7 linked regions of the Sus scrofa genome follow. The protein of the gene in region 7 binds, or shares a complex with, the protein of the main gene of each other region. Links are inferred from orthologs where the notes say so. Each region holds a gene or a part of one and is shown on either strand. Other genes may lie near its edges.

Region 1 (4,270 bases), on a different chromosome or scaffold from region 7:
GGAGTGGTATTACTGTCTTACCGTCATCAGGGTGTTCTCTGGCCTTGTCATGGTAGGACTCCTGAGAGCTCTGTGCTTGTCTGGCCACCTAACAGCATGAATCCCCACCCACAAAAGAAAGAAAATCACCTTAGAGTTTGTGACAAAAGTGCTATGTGTATCCACTGGTAACTCGAGGAGGAGGAGGATTAGGTGCAACTCAATCTACTTATTCTATTAATCTATGAGGATAGGCTAGGGCTGACTACTGAGAAATCTTTTTTTCAGCATACATTTTTGAGAATTATCTGCCCAGGACTGGAAAGCATAAAGAAAATAGTAACAAAAACAAATTTGGGAACAATTCATATACTATTCTGACTGCTATTTGCTAAAACACATCAAGGCTGCTTGGATGCCTAAATATGATAGGAATTTGAGTTAACGGGGTTGGTCGTTTTGATAGCTTCTTCACAACCACTGTTTACTTCAATCAGATCTGATTAAAGGAGGGCTGAAATATCACTTTGCAACTGAAAATGACATTTTAAATAAAAACAAGCCCACCACTCACAAAAGGGGGTTTTAGGCAACTGTCCCAAACTGGTTGCAGCAGGAGCTCCACCCCTTATAACCTACCATGGCTGGTTGAGTGCAAGCTTACAAGAGAAAAGTGAACTATTTTGTGGTTAAAGGGAGGAAAATTTGAGAGTAAGGCTACAGACACGTAAAAGGCAGCCCAGTTAATATCAGCTCTGTAACCACCATCCACCCAGCCTCAACCACGTGCAAATCAGTGGTATTACCCTTTCACCATTTTTCTTGGGTCTGCCCCATGCCCACTCACCACCAGCAAAGATGAACAGAGCCCTAGTACCTAGGGGTTCTGGGCTTCAAATGCAGTGCCCTTCTCCCCAATGCAGACACAGGTAGACGATGTGAAGCGGGTGGCGAATTTATTTATAGCAAAAGGACGTACAAACAAAATGAGTAGAAATTTTAAAAGGCCACTCTACAAATATGAGTTTGGCCTCGAGTGTTGTGGATGTTATTTGGTTCTTTAACACGTGTCCTCCTGGTAACCTCCCCCCAATGAACACACAATCACAAATCTTTTAAGCAGATTTGGGGGCATCCTCTCCGCTGCCACGGCCTCCCTCGCCCCCTCCCGCACAATTGGCACGTTGGGATGAAAGATTTAGGGGACAGAACATCCCTACATTCTCTTTAGAACCCAGGCTCCCAGGCCCCCGACTTCCAAAATGCGTACTCACCCCTGCCATTGGGATAAAGAAGGTAACTCAGAGGTGTTCTTAAACTTGCTGTTTAAAACCCAAAATGTCCCCGCCCCCAAAACCTCACACGCCTTCTTTTTGGGGGCAGAAGGATGCCATTTAAGGAAAAAGGATATACCCTCCGAATTTCTTTGGAGGGAAAAAGCGTTGGTGAAATCTTCTGAATGTCAGGACTTTTCTACCGGATTTCCTCCAAAGCGTTTCCCAGTTGTTGAACAAGGGTGGCCAGTGCAGTGTCGGGTATCAGGGTCCATCCGCTCTCCCGCTCCCCCACCCCCAAAGCTCTCAGCTCGGCCTGAAATAGCCCTTCCGCGAGGTCCAGCTCTCGGCTTTCTCTCGCCAGCACCCACGTGTCTCTATTTACTCTACTCGGGTTACCAACGCTATCGCCCGCAGCGGGCCAGAGATCTGATAACGTGCTTTCCACTCTCCCCTGAGTGGGTGCCCTGGCTTCCGCCGCATCTCGACTCTGGCTCGCCTTTCTTTTGCATAGATTTAAGGCCTGATCCGGGCCCAAACTAACCCCCAATATAAACTTTTTTTTTTTTTTTTTCAATTCTTTAAGTGGCTGTGGGTGGAGAAAACTAGCGTTGCGGACCTTACTGCGAGTGCCCCCGCCCTGGGGTGGTTCCGCTCGGCGCGCCCACGGCTCCCCACAGCCAGCCCCGGCACTGGGACTCGGGCGGCGGCAAGGACCGGGTCCCGCACCGCCCCCGCCGCGCGCCCCGCTGGGCGCGAGCCTGGCTCCGCGGCGGTTGGGATGGCCCCGCCTGTCCTCGGCCCACGCCCGCCTCCCCTTCCTTTCTGCCTGTGGCTCTGCTCGTTTCTACCTAAGCTTTTGGTGGTTTAACGCATTTTTGCAGAGACATCTATCGAGAGAGCGGGTGCACTTTGTTTTCCGTCCTACGGAAGAACTTCTCAGTAGTGCTGTTCAGACATCCTCGCTTTAATGCATCGCACATTCTCAACCCCACGAAAACGTCTGAAGGCGAAACGTTATGGGTTAAGGGCCGCAAACCAACAGTTTAGTCACAGAACCCCAAAACGGATCCATTTTGAATGTTTTCCTGCATCCCCCTCCACCTCACACACGCACAAACGAAGAACGTTGACCAAAGTAGCCCAGCCCCTCACCCCATCCCACCTCGGCCCCAGGAGACCTGCTGGGGACCCATCAGCTGGGGCTGTCCAGAGCCTTCCCTCCCTGCTCTTCCCCCGGACCCGCCACGCCGCTCTGGGCAGCGGCCCGCTCACCTCGTGTCCGTTGCTCGCCGGGATGATTTCGGACTCGTTAACCAAGGAGGACTTGATGTCGGCTAAGTCACCTTCCTCTTCAGGGTGACTGATCTCAGCGAAAATCTTCTCTTTCTGGGGATCGCCCTCGTCCTTGAAGGGGATCATCTCGTCCGTGGCGCAGAGTTCCGGGTCCCCCCCGCCGCCGCCTGCCCCGGAGAGTTGGGGCATCCCGACCACTCTGTAATCTCCGCTCCGCTGGGGGAGCACCCCAGGCGACAGCAGAAGAGAGAAAGGGTAAAGGAAAGGTGGGGGAGGAGAAGGAGAATTGGAAGGGTGTGTGAGGGACGACAGCAGGCGGAAGCCGGGCTGGCGAGCGCAGGGCTGGCGGCCGGCAGCCTGAGCAACTGCAGCGGCGTCCGCGTCCCGGCGGCCGTCCGCGTCTTCCCACTCGGCCGAGACCCACGCCGGCACCCGTCCGCGAGGCCGAAGGACACAGGGCTGCGAGGGCCGCCGCTGCCGGCGCCTCTGGGGGCGTCTGCGCCGTGCAGCGTGGCGCACGCTAGGCTAGACTGCCCGGGCGGCCACCCGACGCCCCCAGCGTCTCCCGGGTCGTAGGAGGTTCGAGTCTCCGAAGTGCAGAGGAGGGTCCGCCGGCGCGTCTCTACGCAAATCTCTCCACCTCAGCTCCCCCGGAGGCCGATCTGGGAGTTTGTTTCCCGGAAAAATAAGGGACTCGGGCAAAACGGCTCCGTTTGCCCCAGTAGAGACGGTGCAAGGAGAATCAGAAGATAATGAATGTCCACTTCCTGGAGAGCAAAAAAAAAAAAAAAAAAAAAAAAAAGCCACCAGGGTTGGAGATGTCCGTTTTAGAGCTTCTTGTTTCCTTCCCTTTCGCTTCGGTTTTCCTTCTCCAGGCGAATTTAATCTGCCGGAGGAGAAGGTGGGGGCGGAGGAGGAGGGGAAGAAAAGGAAAAGAAGTTTGCCAAGAATAAAGTTTGTGCGTGCAAGCTCAGGGAGTCGGCAGTGGAGGGCACGGCTGGGTCTCGGGGAGTCACAGCAGGGACCGCGGACCCAAAAGCTTCTGCCCGGAGCTGGAGCCGAAACACACACAGCCCGACCCCTCTTTGTTCCCGGCTCGAGTTTCTCAGTCTGGCTCGCTCGCTGGCTCGCTGCTCTCCACGCCTCCGCCCGGCCGCTTGTCAAAGCAAAGAGCTGCACCCCTCGGGTTCGCCCGGCCCGGGGGAGGGGGACGCCCAGAGCTTGGCGGCTTGCGGGGCTACGGGCGCGTCCTGGCTCTTCGGCCTGAGAGCGCGCAGCCTGATCCCTCCTCCGCGCCCGGCCCCGCAGGTGAGCGGCTGCGCCTCCCCACCGCTTCTCCTCCTCCCGCGCCTCGCCGGCGCTGAAAAGCTACCCACTTGCGTCGCTTCTCCTCCCCTTCCCCTCCCCCGCCTCCAGCTTTCCTTGGCTGCCCGCTGGGAGGGAGGAGGGGGACGGCGAGAAGGAGCTGGTGATTGAGGACTTTTTTCTTTTCCCAGAGCCTGTAGGACTAGTCCTAGTTTTGGGGTGTGTATGTCTGTGTGTGTGTGTGTGTGTGCGCGAGAGAGAGAGAGAGAGAGAGAGAGAGAGAGGGAGCGCGCGCGCGCGTGCGGAGAGCGCCTAGAAAGAAGATTCAGGCAACTTGGCGAAGGAAGGATCCCGCGCTTCTTGTGACCCAAGGAAGGCACGTTTTTGCCCGCGTGAAACTGACAAGAAACTGCGGG
Region 2 (3,500 bases), on a different chromosome or scaffold from region 7:
TAAAATCTGGCCCAGAGTCTTCCCTCCAGGCAAATGAATGTCTGAACCATCCAGGAGATGTTCTCTTTGTGAAGTTCTCAAGGTTTGGAGGCTTCACAACTTTCCTCTGTATTTCAGTCCAGTTTTATCACTCAGCAGCTAAGAAAATTTTATTCTGTCCAGTCCATTCCCCAACAAGAGTAATTTTTCATAAAAAAGTATTTCGGTCATTCTTAGTTCTTTCTCTTTAAGGTGTATTGTGAGAAGACTCTTCTGGATTCACTATTAAAAATATTGTTGGTTTGTTGGACAGGTCTGGAGCACAAGCACCTGTGAATTTGTTCGTACTCTGAATGGGCACAAGCGAGGCATTGCCTGTCTTCAGTACAGGGATCGGCTGGTTGTTAGTGGATCATCAGATAATACCATAAGGTGGGTAGAAGCTGGTGTGCTGACAGAGTGGGCTGCTTTTTGCCATGGTATTGGCTCATCTCCCAGGCCTAATGTTCAAAAGACTCAGTTTTGGGGGCTACTTGGGATAAGAAAACCTCACGTCACTTCTTAATTCGTCTGGCTCTGCATACTAAAGTGGGTAAATTGGGTACGCCCTGAGTGTTCTCTCAAGATTCCTCCAGTGCACAAGGTTTTACAACCCCAGCCCCACCCAAGACCACTTAATACTCTAACGCCTCACAACAGACGATGCTCCAGTCTGACTCTACTTTGCCTCACCCATAAGCTCCTGCCACTCTCCCTAACAGATGAGAGTGTGCTTTCTCCATCTCTCCCTGCACTGTCATCAGTTCCTGTTTGGTCATTTATTTTTATCTCCCTTTTTTCTCCCCAACATTCACTGTCCTTGCTTTCTAATAAAAATAACTATCCTTAAACATGTTTTGTCTTAAGAACTTTCCTTAAATATTTATTTAATTATTCCAAATAATTTTGCCACTGTCCCAACATATGCTAGTAGCTTTGCTATAAACAAATTGCCTGTTTGAGCAAAATGAGGATTGGGTTCACGATTATTTTTTAAAAGAGAAAGCAAGCAAGCAAACCACAATATAGCTATAACTGCCAAACATCTTCTTGATCATTTTAAGTTTTAGGCTATCATAAAAGTCAACCAAGGACTTGAATCTTGGTTCTGTTGCTTTTCTTTATGCTTCGTATTACTTTATATTTCAGCAGTAAACAGTTTAACCTCCTGATTGAAATCTCTGAGATTTTACAAAATAATAATGTGTATTGCCATAGAGTTTATAGAAGGGAACCACTTTGGAGTCAGTGCTGAGTGGTTCTGTTCACAGTAGGTGAGAGAAGCCACCCACCGTCACCAACACCGAGAAGATTTGTGGGGGTGGCTGTGGTCAGATACTCGTTGGATGTATGGTAGGAACTGCTGGGGGAAGAGGCCAAGAAAACGTCGTTATAGAGTTAGTTTGCTAACTGTGGTTTGGCATCTCAGTTTGCTGTGATTTCTTTCTGCATGATGATAATAGAAAAAATATATTCTAGAATTTAAAAGAGCCGGATGTAGTCAATGGGCTTCTACTTCTCAGACACTGCATGTACCTAATGAGAGGCTCCCATTCTAACCTGGTAACCTAGGCAACCCTCGTGTGCAGTCTGCATCTAGGAAGGCGTGTCCCTAAGCCTCATCAGGAGAGGGAGGCCACCGTGCCGATCCACCCGTTCTCACCTCAGTGGGCCTCTTGGTCTCCAGGCTAGAAGTGCCTGGGGTGGAAGCCCCGTGCCCTGGGCTGCATCTGTTAGCCGCCCACACACCCACATGCTTTTTCTTCTTTCCAGCCTGCAATCCTATCTCCCCCAGAAAAATCCTTCCTAGACCATTTGGCTACTTGGGTTCATCAACTCAGACATGACAAGAATGCCTAGGAACTAAATATAATGGACATTTCTTGTTTGTTGGTCTTATTTAAATAATGACATGCATGTGATTTTTTTTTTTAAGTTTCAAACTATATAAAAGGAAATATAATGAAAAGTAAGCCTTCCTTCCAAGTTAGCTCTTAAAAAACACACAAATTATATAAATGTACATAGAAATGTGTGTGTGAGTGTGTATATATGTATATATCTCTGTATTTGTATGTGTATAATGTGGACTGGGAGTGAGATAGAAATAAAGACTCAGGAAAGTGAAAAATCACATATGGATAGTGTGAATCACACATAGGAAGTTGATTCACAGAAATCTGTTCTTCATTCAAGGCTATGGGATATTGAATGTGGTGCCTGTTTGAGAGTCCTAGAGGGACATGAAGAATTGGTCCGATGCATCCGATTTGATAACAAGAGGATTGTCAGTGGAGCGTATGATGGGTATGTGTTTGAGATTTTCAAACGCACGGCTGCAGCCATATCCAGGGGGAAAATATTAAGCAGCTCTGTATGTGCCGGGTCCTGTGCTAGTATTTTCTGTGTAATGGGGGTGGCAGGTGTTATTATAGCATTTGGTCAAGTGAGGACACTCAGGCCCAGGCCCAGAAGGATGAACTGAGCTTAGACTTTTTACCATTATTGTAAATGCAGGGAGTAGCCTTTTAGGCTCTGTAAGAATTTAGTCTTTGTCCCAGCCCTAAATTAAACCAGACTGGTTTTTTGTTTTTTTTTTTTTTTGAGTTCAGTGATAAACTTCTTTTCCCCTTTTGGTGAATTGAACACATCCTCTTTAAAAAGCCTCGTGATTTTTAAAATGAGCAAATGGCAACTGTAAACCTTTCGCAATGACCTTATATATACTTCACAAACGGGTTCGTTGGCCTGTTCATACTCCTATTATTAACTTTCAGCATTTGCTTAGTTTGAAGAAAGGTATCCTTGGAATTTCACAAAGAGCCCTAGCTGTCAGCAGCACCTAGTCAGCCCTAGAGAGCCCCCTGATGAATGAATTTGGTGACATAGATTATCAGGTCAGGAATTGAGTTCAGATAACATGAAGTTGTTTTCTTATCTCCCTTAAAATAATATTTCTTCACAATTCCAGCAATTCTGAGAGTGTGTAGGTTCTTATTTTTTTCCAAAATCAAATACAGTTGGCTTAAAATACCTTGTCAAAACATCAGCAGGTTCCCCATTTAGCTCTTAAGAGTAGGCAGTTCGGATGCACTCCTTTCTCTCAAGGAAGGCTTCACAACACGTCACATGTTAACCTTCCCCCTGCTCTCGTTTTCCTTTCCAGGAAAATCAAAGTTTGGGACTTGCAAGCGGCTCTCGACCCCCGAGCCCCAGCAAGCACGTTGTGTCTGCGCACACTGGTGGTATGTGATCTCTTGAGATGGGAAGTGCTTCCCTGTGGCCGTTGGCCGCTACCGCTCGACCTCCCTGGGCCTGTCATTGGAAGCTTTCTGTGACTCACGCCTTCTGCGAAATGCATGGGTCCCTTAGTTTTGTTCAATCAAAATCAGAGAACATTTGACATTCATAGGATTGGGAGCTTTTTCCTACAGAGTATTAATGCACCTTAAAATGTGAAAGCAGGCTTTCCTATTTGTAGG
Region 3 (3,500 bases), on a different chromosome or scaffold from region 7:
GGACATGGGATCTATCCACAACATGAATGGACTCTATAACCACTGGAAATCAGACCGAAGGAAAAGAAGAATTACTGAACTCATTGTGAATAAAATGCTAGGTAGTAAAGACAAGAGAGCTATACTTTAGAAATCACTCAAAGGGATAAAATTTCAAGACCCTACAATCCTAAGCCCCCTCAAAGATACTATCTGCCAACATTTCAGTTTTATTAATAAGTCACTATTTTTACATGCTTATGCTGATATACTGGGTTTATCTGGCTCTTCGCTTTATAGGGCAAAACAGACAAATATATAATAACGACCCCCCCCAAATATTAATGAAAATCATGAGCAAAAAAGTACAATTAAACGATTGGGAAGAATATTTTGGAAAAGAGTAAACAAAGGAGAGCTGAATATACAAAAGACATAGGAAATACTGTATCAGACTCTTTCTGTGATATCTGTAATCTTTTAGAGATGAGGAAGGCTATATTAAATGTCCTCAGGCAGGAGGGATTAAGAAGTAGATGCTTTTACAACCCTTTTGGCAAACTCACCCATCATAGGCTCCACTGACTATCCTCTTATTATCAAATCGAATACAGCGCACCAATTCCTCATGGCCTTCTAATACTCGTAAGCATGCACCACATTCTATGTCCCATAATCTTAAAGAGAAAATTGAATCAAGGAAATTTTCATGTATTCTTTCCTAAGTTTGGAATGTTATAATAACATACTTCATATATCTTTTTAAACAATCCACACTCATAATACACAAATTTATTGCTTTTAATGTAATTTATTTCCTTTCTGCCATATAACTTGGGCAGAAATATGTACAATTTAATTCAAATATGTAGTATACATTTTCAAAGCATCAAGCCTTATATAATTCTGTAATCAGGGTCATAAAGAAATATAGAGGATGATGCTGCGAGTGCGGCCCTAATATTTAATAAAATTTTAAAAAAGACAAAAAAATATATAGAGGATGAATTCAATGTATACAGTTGCCTATGAAGGAAACAGCTAAGCACAGAAAATAATGTTTCCTGAAATCAAAGTTAATAAGAATGAAACACCCGAAGCTCCTACTGCAGCTCAGAGGATTAAGAATCCGACATAGTGTCTAGTGTCTACGAGGATGTGTGTTGGATCCCTGTCCTACCTCAGCAGATTAAGGATCCGGCATTGTTGTGAGCTGTGGCATAGGTTGCAGATGTGGCCAGGATCCTGCATTGCTGGGGCTGTGGTGTAGACCAGCAGCTACAGCTCCGATTCAACCCTTAGCTTGGGAACTTCCATATGCTACAGATGCTCTGTAAACAGGAAAAAAAAAAAAAAAAAGAAGAAGAAGAAAAAAGAAACACAGTATCAGTGACATCCTTCTCTCACAACGTATGTCCACCTCTGTCACTGAGGACACTCTCTGCTTTTGTCCTCTATCTAGGACAGTTTTTCTCATCTAATGAAATTGCAAAGTTCTCAAAAAGTTTTATATGCTAATTTAAATTGTATGCTTTGTGACTAATTCCAATGATTTCTAGGAATGATAATTCCCTTAGATATAACAATAGCTCTGCTATTTTTTCAATGGTCTTTTCATTCCCTTAGTACTTCTTTGGAGGGGAGAGGGCTGATGAATCTTCCAAATTCTTATGTGTGTCATTCATCTTCCTGAAGGGAAAACACCAAAAGACACTTCAATTTGTGGATTCTTCATAATTTCAAAGACTGGTAACTCCTTGGTCAGTTAGGCAATGCTAAGCAAACAAAATGTGCCATTTCTAATAGGGAAACATCTTTTTACTTTTTTTAAGAACAGTGAAAAAGAGAAAAGGTCTTTAGCTATTTATTATTACTTTTCAACTGTAGACAGGAGAAATTTAAAGAGAAAGTCCTCCATTTTAATCTCTCTCGCCCACTTCTTCATTCAAACAGTACCTTTCATTTTTTATTTTTAGGTTTTTTTTGGCTGCGCCTATGGCATGTGGAAGTTCCCAGACCAGGAATTGAACCCACGCCATAGCAGCCACCCAAGTCACTGCAGTGAAAATGCCAGATCCTTAATCCAGTGTGCCACAAGAGAACTCCCAGCAGTACTTTTTAAATAGGTCTATCCGGTGATAAAACTATTATAGGGAGGAAACACATCAACAAAAGGCTTTGCTGTGCTTCCTCTCTGCTTGGGGCAAACTTTTGACCTGTACAAAGCTACAGAAAGGAAAAACATTTTATCATAAACATTACACAGTTGGAGATTTGTTTGATCTGTGTGCAAACAATGAATGGCAGGATAATACTGATCCCTTCTGGGCAAGGGCACTTGCTGCTCACCTGATAGTGTTGTCAGATGAGCCACTCACAACCAGCCTATCTCTGTACTGCAAACAGGCAATTCCACGTTTGTGTCCATTTAAGGTCCGTACAAATTCACAAGTACTTGTGTTCCATACCTAAAACAAAAATAGCACTTGGCAGTTGATTTGGTGCTTTTACTAGTAAAATCTATGGCAAAATGGAGCCTTAGGAAAGCAGAAAAATAGAACTGGACTAATAGGGGGAATTTAACTTCTCAAACCAATCCAAATCAAATCAAAAACTGACAGGTTTAATTAAAAGTAACAAAGGGCTAATTTGTAGCTGGCCGCTATTACATGAGAATTCCTCAAACTAACATACTCTGATGGGGTTAGTCTGGTCTTGCAGACTAATTCTTGAACCTAAATTTACCCTTGTCTTTTTCATACTCAGCATTATTTACAGGAATAAAATACCTAACCAAAATTGTCACACAACTTCTCTCTCATTACCTTTTACACATAAACTAGTATCTGATTTAAATATTAAGTATTCTACAGAGATGGTTAGACACTCTGCCCTTGATCAGATTTCCATATGAACTCCCCTATTTCAAGCTGGGGACTTATTAAAAAAGGCCTTATTACCTTTATAGTCCTGTCCCCAGATGCAGAAACGATGTACTTGTCATCAAAGTCCACAACATTGACTGCAGCTCGGTGTCCAACAAGTACCCTCCGGAGGGTGATGTCAGTTGGGGAGGCCATATCCCATACCGCAATGGAACGGTCTTTGGAGCAGGTCACCATCATGCCATTATTGAAACGCAAGTGCAGAACAGCTTCACAATGGTGAATCAATGTGTTTAGCATTTCACCTGTATTTACATCCCACACCCTGGAACAAACAGCATTAAGATCATCTGAGATTGCAGTGGTCCTCAAGCTACAATCCATTACACCCCTCCCATGCTAATCTCATAGTTAGGGTTGCACCCTACTCTCCTTTTGCAGCTTTGAGATTAAGCTGCGGTAAAGTGCACTGATGGAGCATGGGGAAGTGGTACACAGACGACTGGACTGTGAGAGTGGGAAGAGGAAGGGGATGGGATGCTGCCAGTGTGAAATCCTTAAGATACACAACTTGGAAATCTGTGCTAGTTGTTTGGGGGCAGGAATGAGCCTGCAGCCACAGTCACCAGCTAATTG
Region 4 (4,178 bases), on a different chromosome or scaffold from region 7:
AAAGGGTTGTTGTGGAAAATTAAGCAAATAGTTTATGCAAAATGCTTAGCACTCAGCAAAAAAACAAGCCGGGGGTTGGGGGAGGGAGGGCTGGCAGTAGGTAACAGGGGACTACCAGGTACCAAAATAGAAAGCAGTAAATTATACAAAGCTAATCATTTTGTTATTTCCATGCTTAATGTATTTGCACATCCATCCCATCTCTCATCCCTAGAGAGCAACTACCTTATAAACCTAACGCTGAATTGCGATTACTCGAAGCTTTTTTTTTTTTTAAAGGTTTCCAATTTTTATCCTAGCTGAAAGAATATGTTCTAACCCCCTGACTCTCCATAATTGGAACTCTAGGAAAGGCACTAGGACTCTAAGCATCCAAAAGAGACCCCCACCTGGAACACAGGCCATACCTTAGTCATGTAACAAAGAAACCAACAGTATATAGGAGTCACACAAGCAAAGAAAAATCTGTACAACTCATACTTACTCGTCATTTTTCACCCCCAAGTCAAAATGAGGAGCCAAACAAAAAATAACAGATTTACTTATTCACATCCCTTATTATATCTCCTAGAAGAACAGGTAGAGGTGAGGTAAAAGACAAGTCTTCTTCCATCTTATCATCCAAAAGGTTCCAGTAGTACACACCCAGTCAAAACAATGCCTCAGTTCGTGGAAATAGTCCTGGTCGCTAGTCAACTAGAATGCTCACTGCAGCTACACAAAGCCCAGTATTTAAAGCTGGACCCAAAGCACTACTACCATTCAGTCAGCCAGAACCTATTTTCAAACTGCCTTTGTACTCCTTCAAATTCCCTCATTCCTCCCCCTAAAGGTTGAGTGGGAAACCAACACTCTGGCAGCAACATGACCAATCCTCCAAAGATCCAAGAACCCCCCCACCCCCCTTAGGCTGGCGTCAAGGCAGAGAGAGCATTTGAAAGAAAATTTGGAAATGAAATAAGAACTACAGCCCAATGGACTGTACACATTGTCCTTTTTTTCTTTGTAACTGCGCTTGCTATAATTAGGAGATACTCCTAATTATACAGACATTAAAATCTTACTGTAGCTCTTGCATAAATTATATTAAACGGAGAAACAAAGTTCTGTTTCCCTTGAAGACACAACCTTGTAAGAATGAACTCATCTTTCAAGAAACACTTTTGTTCTGGAAAAGAAATCCAAGGAAGTATTCTAGTCTAAAAAGAATTGAGGGGTGAGGGGCACAAAATCAGAGGATTATTATACATACATACCAGTTTAAAGCTAATGAGCAGCTAACACAGGCCCATCTTTTTACAATTAGGGCAGTATCTACTGCAGTTAGTTTTCAGACTGATTCTCATTTTCAAAGAAGATGGAAGAAAACATCCAGTTTTCAGTTACTGATGAGTTGGCTATACAATTATCTAGAATCAGTATTTTTGAAAGAATGTATTTGCAAAACAAAAACTAATCTTAAGATTAAATAGAAGATATGAAAGCACAGTCATGAGCCTTCAGCTCTTACAGATTTCTGATTTCATGGCTAATTAACCAAAGGAAAAACTCACCTCCAAAAAACAACTTTCAGTTTGGTTTAAAAGTAAGAATTCCCCTTTTGCTTTCTCAAATGCCTTCTAAACACTAAAGTTGGTATAGGTATTTTAGTCTTAGCCTATCATTATTTTAATCCAAGGCCCTTTCAGAGAGCACAAAGCTCAAAATATTTTCATGTGTATCGCCACTTTACTCAGGTGAACGCAAAAGCATGATTAGAATTTCCTTATCCCTTTAAGCACAGAAACCAAGGGTTATCGTACATGCCAACTCAACCTACACCTCCACAAACCTTTGCCATCAAGGTAGTTGTAGAAGGAAGGAGATGGCGATTCAGTTACCATGGATCCATTTGTTTTCTTTTATAAGGCAAAGCAGGGAGCTAAGTCTAGCCGGAGAATGAGGCTCCCACCCACCGCACCTGGAAAAGTAAAAGAAGGATCCACCCAGGAACAGCAGGGCTGAAACTGATCTGGGCTGTTCAAACTCCAGAGGAAAAAATACCACCATTTAAGCTGCAAAACTCCCTGCAACTTTCCACTTTCACAAATCCAATGATTAAAGGGAGGGAAAAAAAAGTTTTAAAACATGAATAACTAGCTTCCGACCCGGACAAATTCCTTTCCCAACCCACACGCAACATGCCAAAAAACCCAACTTTTGGTTTGGGCTCTGAAAACAGAAGTTTGTTAGCCTAACCTAGAAAAAAAATATGAAATAAAAGAACACACCAAAATGCAAATTTACAGAATTGCCCTCACCCCTCCGAATCTATTCATCTCCCTATATTAGAGAGACCCAGAAGTTTGTTCCTGGTTCTTGAATATTTTACTTTGTTTCAAATATAATACCAAAATTCCCCAAATGAGGAAAATTAATAACCGCTTAAAAGTTACCCATCAGCGTAACAGAATCTCTTGTTTCTAAATTCCCTCCGGTTACCTTAAGACAAAAATTCGACTTGGCTTATCCTCCTTCACCCATCTATACACATATTTTTAAAAAGGCACACACCTCAAATGTGGACTTCTAGAAACCAGTCCTCTAAGAAAGAAACCCAAGCCTTCGTCAACGTGCTGAGAAAGACAAATCCAGCAAGGGAGTTGATTTTTCGCCACCTCTTCCTCCTTTCAGGGTCTTTCCTGCTCTTCTTTCTCTCTCTCCCTCTTTTTTTTTCTCTCAGATCCAACACCTAAAATGGAAGTTGCACCCAGCCAAAGGCTAGGGAGCCTGGGTGGTGACAAACTGATCTGGCAGCCCTACCCCTCGCTTTCCTAAGTGATGTCAGCCCCTGGGAACTTCCAATCGGAGCCAGGCATAAATCAGGGAGCTGATTTTATCCAATAGGAAACTTTATTATAGGAATTAAAAAAAAAAAAAAGGAGAGAGAGGAGGGGAAAAAGAGACAGGGGGAAGTTTTATATATATTTATATTTAAAGTGGAGACTGTACGATCTCTGAGGAATTACTGCAGAGCTGGGGGGTTAGGGGAAGGGGGCTTAGGGAACAAGGGCTTTTTAAAACGACAGGGCCTAAGCGCGTCAGTTCTCTTTGATGCTGGGGTTCTTACTCCTTCCTTTTTGGGTGGGGAAGCAAATAAAAGCTGATTTTATTTGCCTACTGCTATTTAGTTTGTTGCTTTCTACCCTAAAGCATTTTCCCAAAGGAAGACAAGAAGGGAAGGAGAGAGAAATCCTAGAAACAGGACTACAATGTCTTGAATGGGATGGTAGGGGATATCTGAGGTAAACACTCAATTTCATTGTTTTGGTTTAAATGCATTTAGGCTGATTAGGAAAAAATAAATGCTTGGACTTGTTCATACTTTTTAGTGTGTATGCTTTCAATGAGAAGGAAACTGAATCCTCTAGGTTATTGAGGAAAATCAGTCTTCTCATTTATCCCCAAATCAAAATAATGTGGCATTGAGTGGGAGAATAAATGATATCCCATAAACAAGCAATATATTTAGAGTAGATAACAGCATGTGTAAGGAAAAGAAAGTCTCACGTCTAGAAAATTCAATTTATTTGTGAACTTGAAGCTTAAGACATCCATTCCCTTTTTACGCTTGACCTAAATAGAGGATAAAAACAAGTATTCTTTTTCTGAGTTAAGAGTTATATTATAGGAGTTCTCATCGTGGCGCAGTGGTTAACGAATCCGACTAGGAACCATGAGGTTGCGGGTTCGATCCCTGGCCTTGCTCAGTGGGTTAAGGGTCTGGCGTTGCCCTGAGCTGTGGTGTAGGTTGCAGACGCGGCTCAGATTCCGCATTGCTGTGGCTCTGGTGTAGGCCGGTGGCTATAGCTCCGATTCGACCCCTAGCCTGGGAATCTCCACATGCCGCGGGAGTGGCCCAAGAAATGGCAAAGACAAAAATAAATAAATAAATAAATAAAATAGGGGTTAAGAGCATAGATTCTGTAGTCTGACTGGCTTCAAATTTTCCTCCTCTGTGAGTACACTTACTCAAGTAAATGTACTATATCCTCTGTGACCTTGGAAAGGTTATATAACCTTTCTGTGACTCGGTTTCTTAACCATAAAATGGAGATAATAACTATCTCACAGGACTGTTGTAATTAAAATACACACAAAGTTCTTAAAACAATGTATGCCATATAGTATAAATTCAA
Region 5 (4,014 bases), on a different chromosome or scaffold from region 7:
CATTCCAGCAGGAGAAAAACAATAACTATGATTAGCTAATCATCTAGCCTGTTAGAACGTGATAAGAGGAACAAAAAATAAGAAAAAGCAGAGAAGGTAAGTGGTTTAGTAGCATGTGAGAGGGACTTTGGCTGCTTTAGTCAGGGTGGGCAGGAACAGTCCCACTGATAAGGTGACATTTGAGTAAAACCCTGAAGAAGAGAAGGGACGGAGCCATGAAGGTACCAGGGGGGAGAGTCTATGCCCAACAAAAGGAATAGTCAATGCAATGACCTTGAGGTAGATGAGTACTTGATTTTTTTTTAGCAAAGTGGCTGGAGACCAGTGAGTGAAATCCAGGAAAAAAATGTTTAGTTTACGGGGGTTTCCCATCCTCCTCCCCCTCCTTTTTTTTTTTTTTTTTTTTAAACAAATCAATTACTTCTTTTTTTTTTTTTTTTTTCGTCTTTTTGCCATTTCTAGGGCCCCTCCGCGGCATATGGAGGTTCCCAGGCTAGGAGTCGAATCGAAGCTGTAGATGCCGCCCTACTAGAGTCACAGCAACGTGGGATCCGAACAGCAACTGTAACCTACAGCACAGCTCACAGCAAGGCCAGATACTTAACCCACTGAGCAAGGCCAGAGATCGAACCCGCAACCTCAGGGTTCCTAATCGGATTCGTTAACCACTGAGCCACGACGGGAACTCCAACAAATCAAATAAATACTTTTGAAAAAACTTATTAAAAAGATTAAGATCAATCAGTGTCCTGGTTCCAGGTCAAGTTCCCGGACTCAGACAGACAAAGGTCGTCCAAACTCACTATTTATTGACTATGATCCCAACTGAGCTAGTTCGCCCCGCTGAACCTCAGTTTTTAATCTGTAAAACGGATATTAATAACAGGGTTGTGACGAGTATTCAGCAAGATAATGCAAGTAAAGCACTTGACGGGGTGTCTGGCACATAGTAAAAGTTCAAAAGCTGTTTCTGGCCATAATCACCCATGCCTGCCTTCTACCCCCCATGACTGCTTTTGAGAGAAGGTGGGAAGGACTGTTGCAGGCGCCTAACCATTTTCCCCTTTAAGAATCTCAGCCGGCTGGAGCCAGCCTCCCCGCACCCTTTCCAAATTTTCCAATCCCGGCTTGGCATTTTCCTCCCTAAGGTTTCCGATTGGACGATCTTCACCAATCAGAGGCTGGAGCGGACCCTGCCGGGCACCCAGCTCCGCCCCTGAGCCGGCCCTGCCCCGGGCCGGTCAGCCCCGTTGCTATGGGGACTGGTGGGCGGCGAGGGGGGAAAGCCCCGGATGTTCGTTGGGGATTCAACATGGCGGCAGCAGTGGCCGTGGTGGCGGCGGCGCAAGAGAGCTGAGGGCGGCGTGAGCGCGCCAAGTTCCGGGCCGAGCAGCTAGGCCGCGAGCGACTGCGGTGCCGAGCCGGTAGGATAAGCGATCTGGCCAGGCGACGTGGGGGGGGTCCGGCGATGGCGGTGGGAGAGCGTTTACGGGAATAGGGGGCGGGGCCGCTGGGGTCAAAGTTGACTCGCGAAGGAAAGGGTCGCGTCGTGGGTGGGTCGCGGGTCTACGTTGAACAGGGGGGAGGTGTAGAGTAGGTCAGAGGTCGTGGTAGCAAAGGGGGCGTGGCGAAGGGGTGCAAAATTGGAAATTTGAAGTAGGAGCGTGTTGGAGGGGCAGGGGGGCGAATGTCTAAAAAAATGGGGGTCAATTTGAAGGGAGGATGTGCCTGCGAGGGTCTGAGAGTTGGAGGTTTAGGGCAGCAGCTAGTGGAGCAAATGAATGAGATTTAGGTTGGGGGACATCTGTATGGGATCAAAAGTGGGGCCTGACCAAAGGGGGCAAAGATCAGAACCTGGTGGCCCGACAGGTGATGTTCTCAGGGGTCAGAAGTTAAAACCCAGGTGGGACGTGTTGCTGAAGAGGAGGGGTAGGACATTCAAGAACAAGGTCAAGGGTGCTTCCTGCGGGGGCGGGGGGGGGCGGGGGAGGGGAAGAGGAGAAAGCCCTCCTCCCACAGATGATGAAAATAAGAGCAAACACTCCTAGAGCACTTACTGTGTGTCAGGCTCTGTTCTAAATGCTTTACATTACCTTTGATCGTGAACACAACCTTATGGGCTTGGTGCCATTATTAAGAGGTTAAGTGATTTGCCCAGGGTCTTCTCATGAGTAAGTGGTGCAGCTCAGATTTGAACTCGGGGTTCAGAGTTGTAGGCTCCGCAGGCTCTCAGATTCTCATGATGTTGGTTGATGCTTAATGAGAGTTAACATTGTACTCAGCGCCCTGTGTGCCCGGACTTATACCATAATCTTGTGAAGTGGGTACCAGATGGACCCACTTTACAGACAGACAAAGTGAGGCTCAAAGAGTTTCTACTGAGTGACAGAAGCAGATTCCAAGCTGAATCTTGAATGACCCCAGAGCTCCTGGCCCTAGTCACCACATCGTAGCTTGCTGAAGGTCTGTTCCTGGAAGCAGGGGGCTGGGCTGGGCAGGGCTGTCTCTTTGGCCTCCATGGAGGGGTGTGATCTGGGAGGAGAGGCTCCCCTGGGCCTGTGGGATGGGGTGTTTGTGGGTGGCCCAGAGTCCGAGGGAGTCTGACAGGCTTCTGGCGGGGGTCCTGGGGCGGTACCCTGGACAGAGTCGGGTGTTCTCTGTATTTAAAACCCCAGGCTCTCATCATGGTCTTCAGGCACGCCCATCCCACTTCCTACTGCTCTCCCCATCCCTCCCCAAGGTCCAAGCACACCGGCCTGTTTGCTCTTCAGCTCCATGGGCTCATGCCTCCCTCCAGGTCTTTGACTTTCCAGTTGCCTCTAATCTGGAACCTGCGCCTGACCAGCCTGCCCCCAGACACTCCTTATCTCGCTATTGTTCTCTATCTCGATGCTGGGCCCCTCGAGGGCAGGAATTTCTCCAGGTTGTCCTTTCCCTGAGTTTCCACCTGAAGCACTGCCTCGTCTGCAGAGTCTGCAGAGGATGCTGGTCGGTGGGGATTGAATGTTGGGCACGGGGCTGGGTGCTGTGTGCTGAGTCTGCAGCAGTGGACAAAATACACAGAGCCCCTGGCCCCTGAGGGCCCTCAGTGTCCCTCGGTGGGAGCAGACTGGACCCAGACCCCTAGCCTGTGATACATGGCTCCATCTCTACCAGTGGTGATGCCACCTGCGAGGACATGTTCCGGGGACCCGGAGAATGTCCAACCGGGGCCAAGAACTCTGTCCCTGGGCAAGCTCTGAAGGACGAGTAGGGGGATGGGAAAGCGTTGGCCAGGCAGGAGGAAAGGTGTGAGTGGAGGCCAGGGATGCAGAGTTGGGGGCTTGTGGGCAGCGTGTGGCCTGTGTGAGACCCCTAGGCTGCCCAGCCTGGTGGGGGCATTGGGCAGGGGCCGATGAGTAGCTGCCCCGTGTGTGGCACTCTGGGGTGGTACTAGGGAGTAATTCGAGAGGATGCTGGAGCAAGGGTGCCTGGCTCACACCCAGCTCCATCACTTACAGGCTGTGTGACTGTAGGCTGGGCCTGTTTCCTTCTCTGCAAAATGGGAATAATGATAGTGGCTACCCTGTAGAACTGCTGTGAGGGTGCAGAGCATAAACGCTAGGCCTAGGGCCTGGAACAAAATAGGAACTGGGTAAGCACTAATTTCTTTTTTCTTTTTATGGCTGTACCTGCGGCATATGGAAGTTCCCAGGCTAGAGGTCGAATCAGCGCTGTAGCTGCTGGTGTATGCCAGCAGGATCCAAGCTGCGTCTGCAACCCACACCACAGCTCATAGCAATGCCAGACCCTTAACCCACTGAGCAGGGCCAGGGATCGAACCTGCGTCCTCATGGATGCTAGTCAGGTTCTTTATTGCTAAGCCACAACAGAACTCCGGATTAGCACTAGTCTTGAGGCTGCCGCTGCTACAGCTCCCTGGGGAGGGTCTCAGAGGTGGTGGCATAGCCTCTCCATCAGCCTCCCGGCTTGCTCCGGCAGCCACCCTGCCCCCACCTGGCTCTGGCAGGGTCA
Region 6 (4,006 bases), on a different chromosome or scaffold from region 7:
GATTGAATACTATGTTCTAAGGTAGCTAAGTGTAGCTGGAGGAAGCCACAGCCACTCCATGTAGGGGAGACCACAGGAGCAAAAGCTCTGAAGATGGAAACAGCATGGACTGTGGCTGGACAAGAATGGCCTCATTAAGGTTACAGTGGGCACTTGCACCTACAGAGAGTAACTGGGCCCCGCCTAGGGGATGAGCCTTGTGCTGGGTGCTGTAGGAGATACAGCTGCTGCCCTCCAGGAGTTTGCATTTCCTGGGAAAGGGAGATTTGAGTAGAAAAAGGTAAACATGCTGAGGGCAGGTCTCCCTAGCACCCTGTTCAGAGCTCAGCCCAAAACGAACAGTGGATACTGCTGTCATGCATAATTTTGGACTTAATAGACCAGTGCAGAAATCAACTCGTTCGTCATCCCATGATGGAGAAGGAAGTCATACCAGACTGAGAGTGTAGTATTTTTGGTTTTGTTTTGTGGTTTTTGGGGGGAGCGTTCAGTAGAAAGATAAGGAAGGAAGAGTGGGAATGAAATTCCCTAAATGGCCAGAGGGATAGGGATAGAAGCCAGGTCCTTCAAATGTGCGTGTGTGGGGAGGGGGACAATCTCAGGAGGTGATGCTCCTGTCACAAGCCTCTTGTTCTCCATCAGGAAGGCTGTTGGGTTTACCCATCTGTCAAGCGACCGGCTGAGTTGGGTGATTGCTAGGAGGCTTTCCCATCGCACATTATGAGGTCCCTGGAATTGGATTCGAGTTGCACTCTGCCTCAAGGTGTGAGGCTTCAGTTTTTCCTTCCGTAAAGCCAGGGAATGGGCCTGGAGCTCTTTTCTGGAAGCCTGTGCCCCGGGAACACCTGTGGCACTCGGAAGTCTGCGCCGCCGGGCCGCCGGGTCCCAGGGGCATCAGCGGGAGGTGGGGCCAGAGCGGGCGGTGCCCGGAGACTCACCTGTGCGCCGCGCGCTGACTCACCTGCCCTCCCCAGCTGGCGGGCTGTTCCAGGCACCCGCGCTCCTCCCTCCGCTCGGGGGTGGGGGTCTCTCCCGGCCAGAGTGCCCACTAGGGGCTTGGCAAGAAGAACCTCGAGGGTCAGGGGCAGAGAGCAAGAGGGCCTCTGGGGGGTCCGGGCCTGGCGGACCAGGCGCTCCGGGTCAGGGGCCACCCTGGCCAGCGGGGTGGCAGCGGGAGGCGCCGGGAAGAGCGCGCCGGAGGGAGGTGCCGGGAAGGGCGGGCGGGGCCCGGGACGCGGGGCGGGGGCGCCGGGCGGCCCATTTCCTCCCTGGAGCCGGACAGGGGCAGACAAAGCGGCGGCCGTTGGCTTCGGGCCTCGGGAATCTTCCTGCCTCGCCTCGCTCGCCGCAGGTAATTGCCTTCGCGCGGGTGTGGGCGCCCCTCGCTGGGCAGGGGGCTCCTCGGGCGGGCGGCCCGGGCGGTCCCCTTTGCGACCCCGCCTGGCCTCGGGCTCCGGGTGGGCGCCGCTGCGGCCTCCGGCCCGCTCTCGCCGCGGGGCCCCGGGCCTGGGCCCTGGTGGAGCGGGCGGGGCCGGCGCTTACTGGCGCTCGGGAAGTTGAGGGCCCGCGGCGGCCGGAGCAGCGCGAGCGGCAGGCCCCGCGCCGCCGCGGCGCCTGCTCTCGGGAAAGTTTCTCCGGGCTTGGAAACTTTGTTCGAGTAGCCTCGGTGCGCGCGCCAGGCCCGCGCTGAGCCCGCTCGGCCGCCTTCCTCGAGGGCAAGAGTCCGTGCGTGGTTCCGCGGGCGGGCGGGCGGCGGCGTTGCGTTTTCCGGGGAAGCGAGTGAGGTCTGTGGTTTCTGGCATCGCACCCCTCCCCCCGCCACCGAAACTTGCCGGTCAGGTGGACGGGGCGGCTGCTGGGCCCGCACCCTCGCGTTCCCGGCCCGAGCGCATGTGCGAGTTTGCGTGTCCCTTTCTCGGACACAGTCTGGCTGGGAAGGGGCGCCACACCCGTGTGGACTTTTGGCGTGTACATGTGAACCTTTGTTGTGAAATTCCTCGGACTTCTGTGCTGTGTAATTGGACGCCCTGAACTCTAATTAGTTCTGGTTTGCACGAGGGACGTTGGAATCTTTTTTTTGTTGATTTCTAAAGGGGTGTGTTTGTGTGGGAGAGGGAGAGAGAGAGAGAAAGGGAGAGAGAGAGAGGGAGAAACACTTGTTGGAAAAAATGTTGTCTGAATGCCTACTAACCTTGGTGTGGCAGGAATGGCTTCCCAATAATGCAGGCGGCAGTTGGCTCCAATCCAGGACTGAAACCCTATTATGTCCCTCTGCGTCTTTGCAACATTTTTTGGTGTTTGCTTTGTACAGAATTTACAATAATCTAGAAAAGAGTAAGGTATGTTCACTCTCTAGATTATTAAGGCGTTTCTTATGTGTGTTGAAGGAAGTGATTACATCACTGTATTGTTGCAACAGGATAGGCATTTCCATGGGAGGATCGTATGTTTAGCAGTGATTTTTGAAGATTGTATAGGTGTGTGTCACTTTAGGAAAGTGTGGATTTGTAAATCACCTTAGTGAGGATGTGGTACTTTAATCCATAGCTTTTGTCCAGTGATTTACTCTTTCTGACTTTTATCAAATTACAAAAATCATTTTTATCCACTTTCTTAAGGGCCCACAGTTGATTAAGAAATAGTCTCTGCCCCAAGAACCCACCGTGTAATAGGGAAGGGACACACAGCTTGGGTGTAGTGCAAGGCCGATGGCGATATGAACCACAACAGTAATGACCAAAAACTTGTGCGTGGGTCACACCTTACGTAATAATAATGATAAGAGAAACTCGTGGAATTGTGCAGGGGGATCTAGTAAGTTTTGTTTGGATAAGACCAGAGGGCTTCCAGGAGGGGACGGGCATTTGAACTGGTTAGAGCAGCAGTGGGGTTTTGTCGGGAAGAAGCATGAAAGGGCATAAAGGCGTTTGTGGAATTGGATTATAAATCTCTCCTGGTTTTCCTTATACTTTTGGCTCTTGTTTCTTAATCTTTCTGTTGTTGTTCAAACCACTTATATCCAAGATTCTAACGTATCTCAGCCCTTCACACCACTGATGTGGCATCATTCTCCCACCACCAGTCACATCTTTTTCCAGGGGTGACCTAGAGATCGGGGTGCCCTCTCCCGGGTTGAGGATCACTTCTGTACAGTCTCCCTGTCATCAAATGTAAGCTGAAGTCCAACACTTTGTGGGCTAAAGCTAAAGCTTCTATTTTGAGTGCAGATGTCTTAGCTCACCCACATGGTCAGCTGTGCATCAGAGATCTCCTTCAGTGTCCAGGGGCTTCGCAAACTCTGCAGGACCAAAATGAGATAAGTGACCTAACCTAGATATGGAGATGGGCAGTAACTGGCAGAGTTGAGGGATTTCTGAAAAGGAACAATAGTTAGTGACGGGACAGGCAGACCTGGATATTGGGGGTGGTGGTGGAGAGTCCTCTGATCTTAAAGGTCCTGAGATAGCAAAAAACTCCTTGTGTTTAGAGACCTAAGAGAAGGTTCGTGTAGCTTGGATGCATGCTTTGGGGGTAGGAAGGAGCCCTGGCATGAGATTGCCAGGGAACTCCAGGTCACGTGCCTGGATTTTATTCTAAGAGCTGTGAGAAGCCATTGTAGGAAGTTTCAAGATCTGATTTCCTTTTTAGGAAGATCACTCCTGCTGGTGCCTGCAAGGCTTGTGTTTGTGCACTAGTAGAAGTAGGAGGTTGATCCAGGAGGATGGTAGGAGTGAGGTGGTGGGGCTAAAGGGAGCTGTACTTTGGAGAAACGAGATAAGCCTTAGGGAAGGATTGGATGCAGCGGCCTAGGCCCTAGGCGGGTCTGTTGGTTTGTTGTTTCCTCATTGCTGCTCCTCCTCTGCTCCCACACCCAGTTTGGATTCCATCACTTACATGAGCTTTTAGTCATATCTCAAGTCCCCCTTAGCACTTTTCTGTCTGGTAGCAAACCTCTTCTCACCAGGTACATGGCACTTGATCTTATTACTGATATGCCTGTTGGCCT
Region 7 (4,125 bases):
GTACCTATGCATAAAGACCTATTGTTTGCATGCATTAATTACAGGGATAAAAGCCTGAAGATAACTTTCACTGTTGCTTTTTGTATGCTCTTCATTGTTTTGAAGGAAAAATAAGCATACAATAGACTAGACAAAGTGAATGGATCATAATTTTTTCATCTTTGACAAATGCCAATCTTGCTGGATTACAATGGAGACATTTCGAAGGGAAACGAAGACCCAGCTTCAGCCTATTAGGACGAATTAGAAAATGTTTTTAAGAATAGAAAATTCGTTTTTAAAAATTAGAAGCTGCCTGATAGCTCCTTCCATAAACAACAACTTGGATTTCTCAACTAAGTAATATCTATACATGAACTTCCTCCGAGGAAAAATCCTCCCCCAACAAATTTATTGATACTTAGTAAAGTGGAACCAGATAAAATTGAAATCTGTAAGAATTAACCTAGTTGACAGGGCTCTAGAGCTAGTCCATTTCTATCAGTCATTTGTTCACAGTAGGGACTAAGGACTTGTTGAATTGCGGGCTAGGCGCCCGTTCTAACACGAGTTCAGTCTTTGGGATTGGGTTAACAGGAGGCTCGGCCCGGTACTTCACTTCCAGATTCAAGCCGGTAGGGATGCGGAATCTACGATTCAGACCGTGGAGGTAATGTGCGGCTCGGCTAGGAGCCAAGTCCTGCAGAGAGCTTGGGGCCCAGACCGCAAAGACGGCGAAAGCACGATCGCGCCGGGGTCCCTCGACTTGCATAGGGGCAGCAGCAGCGCCCGGCAGCGCCGGGAGCGGGCGGGCCCCGACCTCAGCACTGCGGTTGGCCCGGTCCCGAACTTCCGCCCTCCTGGGACCTGTGCCGCTCGGCCTCGTAGGGCCGGGGTCCGGGTGCCGCCTCCCACGGGCAGCAAGCGGCCAGTCCAGCGTCCGCTCTCTTGGCACTGGACGAGTGAGAGCCGGGGGGCTTCGGGATCCCGATAGTGGAGAATTTCGGGGTCGCCCTCCCCCAGCCCATCCCGGCCCGCGGGTGCCCTGGCCGCCCCATCTCGGCCGACAGCGCCTTGGCGGATCTGTCCTGCGGTCCCGCGCGGCCCGGCAGCCGCCGGCCTCTAACCCCCGGGAGCGCCCGAAGAGCTCGCAAGCGCCCCGCCCCAGCCCGAGGCGGGCGGCTCGGCGGAGCGGGGACTACTTTCCGCCGCCCGCCCGCGCCCCGCCCCTTGTCCTCGCGCGGCGGAACGCTCCGCGCTGCGCCGCTGGCGGCAGGATACAGCGGATTCTGCGCGACTTATAAGAGCTCCTTGTGCGGCGCCATTTTAAGCCTCTCGGTCTGTGGCAGCCGCGTTAACCCGGCTCCGGGAGCTGAGAGCGAGGGGAGGCGGAGACGGAGGAAGGTCCGAGGAGCAGCTCCGGTCTCCGCCGAGCCGCCACCGCAGGCCGAGGACGGTCGGACTCCCGCGGCGGGAGGAGCCTGTTCCCCTGAGGTGCTTGGGTGCTCCTTTCCTTACCCTTCCGGGGCTGCTCCCGCTCCTCTTCGGAGCCAAACTTCGTCGCGGGCGCGCGGTCCCGGCGGCGGCTGGAAGCCGGGCCCGGTGCAGCCCGGAGGGCCGGGGTGGGGAGCTGGGGGCTGACTGGGGGCGCCGGGGAGGCGGCGGGGGCGGGCCCGGCCCGAGGGGCGGAGGGCGGCGGCCGGGCCCGGGTTCCGGTCGCGCGGCTCTTTGGGGGCCCCGGGTTTGCCGCTTGCGGGGAGGGGGCGCCGCGAGGGCGCGTTCGGGAGCTCCGTTGTCTGGCGGGGGATAGTAGGGGGGTCTGTGGTTTCCGTCCCGGGCTCCGGCCGCGGCCGAGTTTGGGGGAGGGACCCTGCGCCTCTGGATGCGCCGGGGCCGGGGTGGGGGGCGGGGTGGGGACGGGGGACTCCGCCTTCCGGGCCTTCAAGGGGAGTTGGGGTACAGGCGCTGGGCCTGGGACCCGAGGTCCCATCTGCCATGAGGAGAGGACCAGTAGACTTTCTCTTCAGAGTCCCTCTTTCGTGCTTAAGGACGAATTAAGAGAATCGTTAGTATTATTTTAATGCTCTGCTGGTGTGTTTGGTTTTGGCTCCTGTTTAAATCGGAGCAACTTTAAACCGTAGAGGATCCAAACTATTATTGCAGACGGAGCGATGCTCCAGGAGGAGTTGCACAAATAAAATCCATATCTAGCACCTTTATTTTCTTGTACGGTGCAGGTGAGTGAAAGCAGTGTGCAAGGAAGGTCCTGGGAAAAATAAGGGCGAGGGCGACTGGCTTACTGTCTCTTACCAAGTGACCCGCCGGACTCAGCCTCTGACTGCTTCGAGAATTTTGTTCGTGGAAATTCTTTATTTAGATAATTTCATGCCAGCTAAACTTGATTTTGAGAGCACTTTCCAGCGAGATGAATTTTTCCCTCGCTACGAAATTGCCCGAAGGAAATTCAAGCGTTGCAACTTCGTTCCGTGTTTTGTCTGGGGCGAGGACTTGGAATGCAGTTTCGAAGTTCAGTTCTCAAAGCCCGCTACTGGATCCGCTAAACTTGAAAGCTTTGGCAGTTGGGTGTAGTTGATTCCTTCGTTTTCAGTTCCCTGTTGGAGGGAGCATTGTCTCCTACTTTGTATCTTCCAGACATCTGTGGTCTCCCCTCCCCCCCGAGTTTGTGAGTGGTGAATGAGGAGACTGGCCTGCTGGTATGCAGAGGTCCGCAAAAGGAAATCGAGGAGTGGTTTTAGTGAAACGAGAGCTTTGTGTCGTGAATAGTGGTGGCTTAGACTAGACAGCAACTTGAAGCGACGGCTAGCCTTTGATAAAGTCTGGACTGATGTTTTTCAGATCGCTGAGTTATAAAGTATTTTGTCTGGAACTTAGGAAGCCATTTCGTTATTGTCCCTTGGTGTGCATTCAGTACCTTCAGCTATCTTCACCTTAACTTGTCTTCAGAAATGTTGGACATAGCTTGAAATATTATTTACCATAATGCTACTGTTTAGTATCTGCTTAAATCAGTGACAAAAACATACTTTGGAGGGTTTTTTGTGGGTTTTTTTTTTTTTTTTTTTTTTTTTGTCTGAACTAAGGCGATGGCTGCATTTATTTTACTTTTACATTTAAACCCACAAAATCTCTGGGTTAAAAAAAAAAGTGCCATTAACGTTTGAGAATATCCTTGCACAAAATTTGATTAATTTGCACCCAATATTCATTACTTTGACCTAGTCTTTGTTCTAAAGGCCATGTACAAGGCCCTAAAGTGATTGCAACAGTAACTCGAAAAACTTGCAGAAGACTCTTCTATAGGATTAAAGGAATGCTGAGACTATTCAAGTCTAAGGTCCTTGAGGGGGAAATAAAAAAACTAAACTAGAAAGTTTAGTATAGCATGTAGCTTAGAGCCCTTGTGGAGTTCTAGGCTTAGATTTTTCCATAGGCTAGAATAATCATTTAAGATAGCTTTCAGGAAAAACCAATTTTTAAAAATAAAGTGGCAAAAAAAAGGACAAAAAAGAAACATTTAGCAGTGTTCAAGTGTCAATAGGTATTCAAGAGTTTTCTTTTGAAACGTTATCCGACTACTTCCTCTACCAAGATAATTATGTAGAAAAGTATGGATCCCAGTATTAAAACATAAGCTGAATTGAACTTCCTACTGTTGCCAGTGATGACTGGAATAAAAATTATCCATGTAAGTGAAGTAGTGTATTTTTGTTTTCATAGATACTTCCCTCCTCCACCCCCCCCCATAGGAAGGAAAACATGAATTAGGCATATTTCTCTAAGGGTATTTTGAGATTTGGTCTTTCAGGAAAACTATCTGCAAATACTGTTTTTTTTTATTGGGAGGGGTGAAAAGAGGAGCAGAAGTATTATTAAAACTGGGGATGTGGAGAATTCAAAAGTTTGATTCTCTGTCATTAAAAGTAGCAGTGAGATTAAAACCCTAGATATGGACTATATAAGTATCTTCAGCCAGTGAAACTTGTGTTATTGAAATAATACATCTATCCAGTTACAATAGGATTTTGTTTCTCTCTTCATGATTTACTAGTTACTGATAATAATTGTAGAGGAGTAGGTGGTAAATTTTAAGTTTGTACTTTGAGCTAGGGTGGAAGCATGCTTGAT

Evidence for each region.
Region 1: the proteins of CTNNB1 (region 7) and LEF1 are in contact, whole or in part, in a crystal structure (PDB 3OUX), measured with the Mus musculus proteins. The link is inferred for Sus scrofa from reciprocal best matches to the Homo sapiens genes CTNNB1 and LEF1. Residues at the interface, in NP_001159374.1 of Mus musculus: Lys180, His219, Ser250, Phe253, Tyr254, Thr257, His260, Asn261, Leu264, Asn290, Lys292, Phe293, Ala295, Ile296, Asp299, Lys335, Trp338, Thr339, Val349, Gln375, Arg376, Gln379, Trp383, Arg386, Asn387, Ser389, Asp390, Thr393, Asp413, Ile414; in NP_034833.2 of Mus musculus: Gly11, Asp12, Pro13, Glu14, Leu15, Cys16, Ala17, Thr18, Asp19, Glu20, Met21, Ile22, Pro23, Phe24, Lys25, Asp26, Gln31, Lys32, Glu33, Lys34, Ile35, Phe36, Ala37, Ile39, Glu45, Asp47, Leu48, Asp50, Ile51, Lys52.
Region 2: the proteins of CTNNB1 (region 7) and FBXW11 are in contact, whole or in part, in a crystal structure (PDB 6WNX), measured with the Homo sapiens proteins. The link is inferred for Sus scrofa from reciprocal best matches to the Homo sapiens genes CTNNB1 and FBXW11. Residues at the interface, in NP_001091679.1 of Homo sapiens: Leu31, Asp32, Ser33, Gly34, Ile35, His36, Ser37, Gly38, Ala39; in NP_036432.2 of Homo sapiens: Tyr244, Arg258, Ser282, Leu284, Ser298, Leu324, Lys338, Ala364, Ala365, Asn367, Gly381, Arg383, Arg404, Gly405, Ala407, Ser421, Leu445, Arg447, Tyr461, Arg494, Phe496.
Region 3: the proteins of CTNNB1 (region 7) and BTRC are in contact, whole or in part, in a crystal structure (PDB 1P22), measured with the Homo sapiens proteins. The link is inferred for Sus scrofa from reciprocal best matches to the Homo sapiens genes CTNNB1 and BTRC. Residues at the interface, in NP_001091679.1 of Homo sapiens: Tyr30, Leu31, Asp32, Ser33, Gly34, Ile35, His36, Ser37, Gly38, Ala39, Thr40; in NP_378663.1 of Homo sapiens: Tyr307, Arg321, Ser345, Leu347, Ser361, Ala385, Leu387, Lys401, Arg403, Arg426, Ala427, Ala428, Asn430, Gly444, Arg467, Gly468, Ala470, Ser484, Leu508, Arg510, Tyr524, Arg557, Phe559.
Region 4: CTNNB1 (region 7) and CTNND1 share a complex: the UniProt entries of both Homo sapiens proteins name them as parts of the cadherin:catenin adhesion complex. The link is inferred for Sus scrofa from reciprocal best matches to the Homo sapiens genes CTNNB1 and CTNND1.
Region 5: the proteins of CTNNB1 (region 7) and PAK4 are in contact, whole or in part, in a crystal structure (PDB 6WLX), measured with the Homo sapiens proteins. The link is inferred for Sus scrofa from reciprocal best matches to the Homo sapiens genes CTNNB1 and PAK4. Residues at the interface, in NP_001091679.1 of Homo sapiens: Lys672, Arg673, Leu674, Ser675, Val676; in NP_001014831.1 of Homo sapiens: Ser331, Gln358, Thr404, Asp440, Lys442, Ser443, Asp444, Phe461, Leu475, Val476, Gly477, Thr478, Pro479, Tyr480, Trp481, Met482, Glu507, Phe516.
Region 6: the proteins of CTNNB1 (region 7) and CTNNA1 are in contact, whole or in part, in a crystal structure (PDB 1DOW), measured with the Mus musculus proteins. The link is inferred for Sus scrofa from reciprocal best matches to the Homo sapiens genes CTNNB1 and CTNNA1. Residues at the interface, in NP_001159374.1 of Mus musculus: His118, Thr120, Asn121, Val122, Gln123, Arg124, Leu125, Pro128, Ser129, Met131, Leu132, Lys133, Ala135, Val136, Asn138, Leu139, Ile140, Tyr142, Glu147, Leu148; in NP_033948.1 of Mus musculus: Ala58, Leu61, Ala62, Ser64, Val65, Gln67, Ala68, Thr69, Asn71, Phe72, Lys75, Gly76, Lys78, Ile79, Glu82, Met104, Ala108, Phe111, Pro115, Cys116, Arg121, Met124, Ala128, Leu131, Leu132, Val135, Leu138, Leu139, Ala142, Asp143.

Annotation. Positions count from the first base shown.
Region 1 is NC_010450.4:113,824,984-113,829,253, reverse strand, and holds the start of LEF1 (lymphoid enhancer-binding factor 1), read right to left. Parts: upstream 2,801-4,270; 5' UTR 2,739-2,800; coding exon 2,529-2,738; intron 1,824-2,528; exon of another isoform or gene 1,263-1,823; coding exon of another isoform or gene 1,254-1,262; intron 89-1,253; coding exon 22-88; intron 1-21. UniProt on the Homo sapiens protein: Transcription factor that binds DNA in a sequence-specific manner. Participates in the Wnt signaling pathway. Activates transcription of target genes in the presence of CTNNB1 and EP300.
Region 2 is NC_010458.4:52,323,901-52,327,400, forward strand, and holds part of FBXW11 (F-box/WD repeat-containing protein 11), read left to right. Parts: intron 1-292; coding exon 293-411; intron 412-2,214; coding exon 2,215-2,325; intron 2,326-3,184; coding exon 3,185-3,263; intron 3,264-3,500.
Region 3 is NC_010456.5:112,566,264-112,569,763, reverse strand, and holds part of BTRC (F-box/WD repeat-containing protein 1A), read right to left. Parts: intron 3,190-3,500; coding exon 2,940-3,189; intron 2,448-2,939; coding exon 2,329-2,447; intron 657-2,328; coding exon 546-656; intron 1-545. UniProt on the Homo sapiens protein: Substrate recognition component of a SCF (SKP1-CUL1-F-box protein) E3 ubiquitin-protein ligase complex which mediates the ubiquitination and subsequent proteasomal degradation of target proteins. Recognizes and binds to phosphorylated target proteins.
Region 4 is NC_010444.4:13,206,432-13,210,609, forward strand, and holds the start of CTNND1 (catenin delta-1), read right to left. Parts: upstream 2,801-4,178; 5' UTR 2,554-2,800; intron 1-2,553. UniProt on the Homo sapiens protein: Key regulator of cell-cell adhesion that associates with and regulates the cell adhesion properties of both C-, E- and N-cadherins, being critical for their surface stability.
Region 5 is NC_010448.4:47,868,390-47,872,403, forward strand, and holds the start of PAK4 (serine/threonine-protein kinase PAK 4), read left to right. Parts: upstream 1-1,214; 5' UTR 1,215-1,424; intron 1,425-4,014. UniProt on the Homo sapiens protein: Serine/threonine-protein kinase that plays a role in a variety of different signaling pathways including cytoskeleton regulation, cell adhesion turnover, cell migration, growth, proliferation or cell survival.
Region 6 is NC_010444.4:140,681,570-140,685,575, forward strand, and holds the start of CTNNA1 (catenin alpha-1), read left to right. Parts: upstream 1-1,206; 5' UTR 1,207-1,351; intron 1,352-4,006. UniProt on the Homo sapiens protein: Associates with the cytoplasmic domain of a variety of cadherins. The association of catenins to cadherins produces a complex which is linked to the actin filament network, and which seems to be of primary importance for cadherins cell-adhesion properties.
Region 7 is NC_010455.5:25,162,970-25,167,094, forward strand, and holds the start of CTNNB1 (catenin beta-1), read left to right. Parts: upstream 1-1,325; 5' UTR 1,326-1,473; intron 1,474-1,497; coding exon of another isoform or gene 1,498-1,918; intron 1,919-4,125. Other genes in the region: basic proline-rich protein-like, read right to left, coding at 1,498-1,918. UniProt on the Homo sapiens protein: Key downstream component of the canonical Wnt signaling pathway.